Rattus norvegicus: one gene and its partner. The protein of the gene in region 2 purifies or fractionates together with the protein of the main gene of each other region. This does not show direct contact. Links are inferred from orthologs where the notes say so. Each region holds a gene or a part of one and is shown on either strand. Other genes may lie near its edges.

The links.
Region 1: the proteins of Phf14 (region 2) and H2ax purify together in Homo sapiens (affinity purification with mass spectrometry; 3 studies listed by BioGRID and IntAct, counting the BioPlex papers as one, with this or other methods). This does not show direct contact. The link is inferred for Rattus norvegicus from reciprocal best matches to the Homo sapiens genes PHF14 and H2AX.

What each region holds. Positions count from the first base shown.
Region 1 is NC_086026.1:53,567,241-53,570,874, reverse strand, and holds H2ax (H2A.X variant histone), read right to left. Parts: upstream 2,158-3,634; 5' UTR 2,090-2,157; coding exon 1,658-2,089; 3' UTR 803-1,657; downstream 1-802. Other genes in the region: Hmbs (porphobilinogen deaminase), read left to right, coding at 16-189. UniProt on the Homo sapiens protein: Variant histone H2A which replaces conventional H2A in a subset of nucleosomes. Nucleosomes wrap and compact DNA into chromatin, limiting DNA accessibility to the cellular machineries which require DNA as a template.
Region 2 is NC_086022.1:41,041,750-41,045,569, reverse strand, and holds part of Phf14 (PHD finger protein 14), read right to left. Parts: exon of another isoform or gene 3,819-3,820; coding exon 3,712-3,818; intron 2,639-3,711; coding exon 2,543-2,638; intron 1,256-2,542; coding exon 1,152-1,255; intron 1-1,151. UniProt on the Homo sapiens protein: Histone-binding protein. Binds preferentially to unmodified histone H3 but can also bind to a lesser extent to histone H3 trimethylated at 'Lys-9' (H3K9me3) as well as to histone H3 monomethylated at 'Lys-27' (H3K27ac) and trimethylated at 'Lys-27' (H3K27me3).

The DNA of each region.
Region 1 (3,634 bases), on a different chromosome or scaffold from region 2:
ACTCCTGTCATCCAGCAAGAAGATGGTCCAGAGGATGACCCACAGTTGGTTGGAATCACTGCCCGGAACATTCCAAGAGGAGCCCAGCTAGCTGCTGAGAACCTGGGCATCAGCCTGGCAAGCTTGTTGCTCAACAAAGGAGCTAAGAACATCCTAGATGTTGCACGGCAGCTTAATGATGTGCGCTAACTGGCCTGCAGGGCACAGGAACCGAACCCCAGCTGTCACTCCAGTGCCTATGTCTGGCTGTCAAGTGCCCTGTGCTCCTTAACAAGGGGAATGATTATCCCAGGAGATTGAACCAGAGTTGTTGAGACTTCGGCCTTGGAAGATATGCCTCAACTTGGGGCCTCCATGACTGCCTTTCCCTCAGTAGTTTGTGGGCTTCATCTCTTTAGAGAAAGTCCATGCCAATCTTTTAATGTAACCAATGCCACTAATCAGTTCAGAATGTGGTTCTCCTGGAGTTGGGGGAAGATATGAATAAACCCAAAGCCCTTTTAAACCTGAATTCTGAGTCTGGGACCTTTCTGTTGTAAAACATCCTGATCATTCTCAACCAAGCAAAGAAACTAGCCTTCATCCCTACAGCCTGCCTGTCTTTAGTTAACAGGATCTTCACATAGCCTTTCATTCCCAGTGCCTGCAGAAAGGAAGGTAAGTTTATCCTCTAGTCCCACTCCCTCCCACGAGATGTTCTGGGCACATGGCTCCTCGACTATGGAGCTGTAAATGTCCAGCCCTGGGACTACAGCATTCAAAGTTAAGTTAGGCATTCAAAATTAAATCAGACACTCCGTTTAAAAAAAAAAAACAAACCAAAAACGATCCTTTAATAAAATTAGCCCATTGAATCTCCCCACTTCTTAAGGTTCTAAACTTGTAATAGCTGCAAAAGTTCCAGTTCAGAAGCCAGAGGCTCAGTCCAGACAGGGATTCACCGACTTGTGCTGGTATCTGGGTGTTTGGGTTGTAGTTTGAGTTAAGGGAGAGGGATAGCTAGGCCCGGCTCCTCTAGTCTTCTGCGGCAGGTATACAATTCTTCTGTCCACAGGCCAATAGGCGTTCCCTGACCCTTTCCAGTTTATCTTGGAAAAATTGGCTTCACGTTATAACATGCCGGCCTACAAATGACGACAGGGTCAACTGGTTTGAGAGGCCAGTAAGGGGGACACAGAGTGAAACAGTATGATCCGCTTCTCACCAAAGTCCGGCAATCAACTCACTTCTGAAAGGTCCAGGAGAGGGCTAAGCACCAAGCTGAAAACGCTGGGGTTGTAGCTGCGGGGGGGGGGGGTGGTGGTGGTGGTTAACTAACCTTCAAGCCCACCTCGGCCGTACGTCATAGCAAAGGGCCGAGATTTCTGGAAGGTGGAAGGTGCCGCAACCTCTCCGCACAGCCCGTCGACGACTGAGAACGGCGAAGCGATGTCACGAGCTCCGGGATGGGTAGGTGCCCCGGCGCCCGCGTCCTGTGGCAGACCCGGAGGCCGCACAGGGAAGGGTAAAGACGCGAGGACTGAGAGGAGAGAATGGGATGGGGACGCGGCGGGCCGGAGCCCGAAGTGGCTCAGCTCTTTCTGTGAGGGAGGTGGTGGCCCTTAAAAGGGCCTTTGTGGAGGTGGGGGAGGGCTGGGCAGCCGCGGCGCGGGCTCCCTCAGTACTCCTGAGAGGCCTGGGAGGCCTTCTTGCCGCCCGCCGGCGCCTTGGGCCCCACGGTGGCGCTGGTCTTCTTGGGCAGCAGCACGGCCTGGATGTTGGGCAGGACGCCGCCCTGCGCGATAGTCACGCCGCCCAGCAGCTTGTTGAGCTCCTCGTCGTTGCGGATAGCCAGCTGCAGGTGGCGCGGGATAATGCGCGTCTTCTTGTTGTCCCGAGCCGCGTTGCCCGCCAGCTCCAGGATCTCGGCAGTGAGGTACTCGAGCACCGCCGCCAGGTACACGGGCGCGCCTGCGCCCACGCGCTCGGCGTAATGGCCTTTCCGCAGCAGTCGGTGCACGCGGCCTACCGGGAACTGAAGGCCGGCGCGCGAAGAGCGCGACTTGGCTTTGGCGCGGGCCTTGCCGCCGGTCTTGCCGCGACCCGACATCGTGTGCGAGGTAGAAGGGCTGAGAAAAACGCCAGGAGACAAACCGCCAACCGCCGCAGTCAACTGTCGCCTCGCGCGGGCAAGCTCGCCCTTATAAACTCTCTGGACACGCCCCCGCTTCCGCCTAATTGGTTCTTTTTTTAATACCCACCTCTGGTTGGTTGCAATTAACCCTTCGGTGACGCGCCATAGCCGAGAGAACGCGCTCAGCGATTGGTCCAATTTGAAAACCTTTTACCCGGGGAAGAAGACAAGGCGGAGTGGCTGCAAGCCAGAGGCGAATCACCCTTGGAAATGGCCAATCAGTATAGAGCGCGCGAAATTTAAACGCTACGGCGCGCCCACAAACCCGAAGACTAGAAGGGTGGAGCTTGGAGCTACCTCTATGGTTTCTGGGAAATCTGAGCCGGCCTGTGGTTTTAAAGGAAAAGGGTCTTCACTGTAAGCACCTTTCTCCTTCCAGGTTAGGGCACTTCCTACTCCCTCCTCTAATCTGGCAAAGGGAAGGGTTTATTTATTTGCTTGTTCTTTATTATTATTTTTGGGTTTTCGAGACAGGGTTTTTCTGTGTAACTCTGGATGTCCTGGATCTCTCTGTAGACCAGGCTGGCTGCGAATTCTGAGATCTGCCTGCCTCAGCTTCCCAAGCGCTGGGATTAAAGGCGTGCACCACCACCATCTGGCTTTTATTTTAATGAGACAGGGTTTCTCTGATTAGCCCTTGGTGCCCCGGAACTCAGAGATCCGCCTGCCTCTGCCTCCCTTGTGCTGGGATTAAAGGCTTGGCTGAAAAGGGAGGGTTTAAAATGAAAGAAATGAAACCTTCTGAGAGTTTAATCCTGTGCCAGAAAACGGAGCACCGTTATCCATTATGCTATCACAAGTTTGTGCTGTAATATTTATTTGATATGTTCTGTCTGGTCTCAGTATGTGACAGACCTCTCTTACAAGAAAGGGTCTGAGGGGAGCAGGGGTAGGGATCCTATTGGAAAAGGTACCCACTCTAATCCTTTCAATCTATTCTAAAATGCCTATATAAAAAAATAAATATGTCGAGCTTGGGATATAGTTCAGTGGTAGAGCATTTAAGTATAAGGATGCCCTAGGGTTCAATAAGAACCTCAAAGGTTAAAAAGAAAGGAGGAAGGAGTGGCTACACCTAGAGGAACAAGTAAAAGGCAATCCTTTATTGTCACCATTCTGAGCACATGGCCCTGCCTCTGCTCTTCCTAATCAGAACACTTAATTTGATAGTCAGATGTGAGGTTACCTTGGAGTATGTTGCCCTAACTCTAGCCCTAGCCCAGGTTCTCTCTCAAGGCCCAGGGGATTCCTTTAGAGTTAGGGTTCTGAAAGTTGAGCCATGAATATTTGCATAAAAGATGCTACAGGCCCACCTGGTGAGGCTGCAGAAAGGGAGGGAGTAGCAAACTCAAGAAAGCATAGGCAAAGTCCAACTAGTGGACGTCAAGTCCACTAAGGAGTCCATCCAGGATGTCAGTAGTCACAGATGACGGCAGAAGCTGAGCCTGGACCAGAAGGCGG
Region 2 (3,820 bases):
AAGGCTGAAAAATTAGCATATATCTATACTGGAGATGTAGAGAATGACAGGAAAGTTGTTTGGGTGACTAAAAGAAACAGGAATGCACAACAAATTGAAAGAATTGGATTTTTTCAATATTCCTGGAAAATACACATGTAAAGCAGCAATAACAAAAATTAATATTAGTAACAACAAAAAAATCCCATTAAAGCTAAAGAATAAGACTTTAAACATATTGTGAAGCAAAAAATAATAATTATAGTCATAAAACTCCAAAGTCTGGTACTATCCCTAATATTTTCCAAAAATCAACCATGCTTGGGAAAACAATGTGGTAATACACTAATGTTCATACTAGAGACAAAGACAGTAATTTGGTTTCCCATATCTCACATCAATACACATGAATACAAACATATATGTGCATGTTATTTTTATGTAACATATAGCACATAATACAAACATACAAGCACAATAGCATATTCTACTATCTCTCTTAATGTAATTAATACATTACATTAAAAAGTGATTTCTTTGTCTAAATATAGAAAGAAATGAAGCCTTTATATACATATACATATAGAAAATGGTTTTGTCATGTAAAATCACTATAATCATCAATTCTGCTTAAATACTGTACAGGAAGTAAAGAAGAAAACTATGTCTGGAATAAGCTAAGCAAGTTGATAAGAAAGTACAGAAAGAAGAAATATTACATTCTTCATCTTTACACACTACGACTCATCACTACCCAAATCAAGAGCAAAATTTCACACTCACTCAAGTAACCTACAAATCCTTACTTATTATGTCCATTAACATAATTAACGATTACATAATTATCGATTTATAAATAAATTTAAAATATTAAATTTAGAATAACAGGCACAGATTTTAAAGTAACTTTGTAATTTCCTGAAAAGAATTCTTTGTTCCACAGAGCTTATGAAAATCCATTCTCAATTCCTTACAAGATATATGATTTACCTTTCTGGAGAACAACTATATCTTCTTTATTCAATCTACAAAGCTTCAAATGAATCTGAAACACTCCTAACTGAAATTCTGAAATGGACAAAGTTCACTTTTGTGCATATGAAATAACTTCTGACTAGTACATAATAGTTAAAAAGTAAACAATATTATTCTGTTATAATTTCATTACTTGCCTATAAAGCACTGTAGGAAGAGAGGATGTCTTTTGTGTGCCTCCTTCTTTTTTACTTGGTTTTCTTTCCTTAGGTGCTCGTAAGATTGCCGGTACATTCAGCTTCTATAGAGTGAATAAATGTCGTACATGCTGTTTGAAAGGTGAGTACAAAGCAGTATTTTCCCCCTACTTGTCTCTAAATCTAACTAAGTAAGCTAGCATTCAGAGAGGGAAATCTGCTTTAAATTAGTAAAGGGAAAACGAATTGCTGATCTCAACTACTTCTATGATAAAGCTACAACTTCATGGGCTCATTAGTTCTCAGAAATACATTAAACTTTATGAAAATTATACTACTTTCACTTGAATACCTTAGAACAATGAGAAAAGTAGAGGAGGCTTAAGAATCTAACACAGTATACTTAGAAAACAACAAAAAACCACCAGTACACTTCTTTGCAACATCCCAGCTATACTGGTGTTCCATAGGTTAATTACAAAAATTATCTTATTGGACCAAACACTATAAAAAAGATGAAATTCTCTTTGGTACTCTTCTAATCTGTAGTATGCTGGCTTCTAAGACAGAACATCTATCAAAGTCACTTCTTAGTGCCCTGGTGAGCTCCCATCTGTTCAGCCAATGGGAACAGTATCGTGCACGTGATACACATGTCTGTGCAGACCGTCTACACACAATGCAATTTTCAGCCCTCTATGAAGTTACCTAATAAATGGAAATGTCTTTTATAGCAGATAATATTTTAAACTATAGAGGAGGCTTTTGTTGAGAAAAATATAAACCCAGCCAAAACAAAAGCTAGAAGAGCAAGTGACCTCTTACACTCCAAATATCCTTTCCGAAATATCAATATAAAATACCATAATCTTCCAAAAATCTACAAACTACTTATTAGTAGGAAAAAAGAGTACATATGTCCAAAAGCGACTCCTCATCTTCACCTTTTAACATCAATTACTCTTTGCAGTACCAGTGACATGCAATCTGTTCATAAAAGAAGGTTATGGGAAAGAAAAATTGTGACAAAAAATCTAATACCACTGAATAAAGAATATACTAAGAGGAAACCATGATTCCTGTCTTAACTCATCAAAAGTCACAGGCCAATCAATATTAATAAAATAACCCACCAACAAGACAGCTGATAAAAGAACCAAGCTAGGTTATAGGTTCTCAGTAGGCAGTGACTACAAGTGGTCTGCAAGCATTTCAGACAGAAATCATTACCCTAGGGGATTAGGCTCTGAAGGAACTGAATTATTTAGTTAGCAAAGTGACTTTTTGTAAGAAATTATGTATACACACACACACACACACACACACACACACACACTGAAAAAATCACAAAGAGAGCAAGAATTGAAGAAAGCAACTGAAAAGAAACTAACCTGCCCTGTAATTCGGCCAAGTAAGGCCCATATTCCTTGTCCTTCACTTCGAAGTTTCCCATTAAGATTTTGCAGTTCCTCTAACGATTCACAGAGCTACAAAAAGAGTAAGTCAAATTAGGAAGCTTTTATTGTGCAAATATAAATAAACAAGAACATTCACACTTATTTTCCATTTAGTCTAATATATTCAGATCAGATAACTACAAAGACAAAGATAATTATGACTAGCATGGTGAACATCCTCAGAAGATAAACACTTTCTTCTCTCCTACAGGTTTTAGTTCTGATGCATACATATATAGTTTGGCAAATCATATGACACATTATTTTGCTATCAAACCACATTTCCATTACTTCTCTTATAAGAAAACTAAAAATCCCCAAGGTTCTTCTGGTTAAGACCATAGAACTACCAAAAGTCTGCAGACCTTGTGACCTTATTCCCTATAGCCTTTTCAGTACAATGTTGTTGATTACTAATTACATCACTTTAAATGGTTGGGTTTTTTTTTTTTGAACAATAATTAGATACTAGTTTAAATATTCATGCTACTTAGAACCTAAGGAAACATTTATTAATCAAAATAGCATATCATTTTTAAAAGTCGAGTACTTTAGGACTGGGTTTTCTTATTTTCAACAAATGAAAGAAGAAGATCTGTAATGCTGTTTACATTTAAGAATAAGGAATGAGGTTAGCTGTGTTAGTTTTAAACCCCAGCTCTTAGTCTTGATTACTATGTTGCCATGAGCAAATTATATAATGTCTTCAATCCTTAGCGCCCACCTCTAAGAAGAGAAGCAATAGCGGCCACTGACACTAAGGACAAGGAGAGAACTACATGACTTTCTGTGTGTGAAGGAATCACAGCTGTGCCTGGTATAAGAATGCACTCAGTGGGGGTTGGGGATTTAGCTCAGTGGTAGAGCGCTTGCCTAGCAAGCACAAGGCCCTGGGTTCAGTCCCCATCTCCAGAAAAAAAAAAAGAATAGAAAAAAAAAAGAATGCATTCAGTGAGAATGACAGTAATGAAAATGATGATGAATGTTGGAAAAGAGCCTAAATTCTCTAGAATTTCAAACTGAAACACAGAAATACAATAAAATCACAAAAGAACTATAAACAAGATCTACCACATAAGACTGAGCATTTGTAGCCAACGTACCTTATTATATTCTACATGAAGCTTTTCTTGCTCATTCTCTAATTTATCCTTTATATTCTTTTGTTCAGCCATATTTTCCTGAATTTGAATCATGCGCATATTTCTCTCT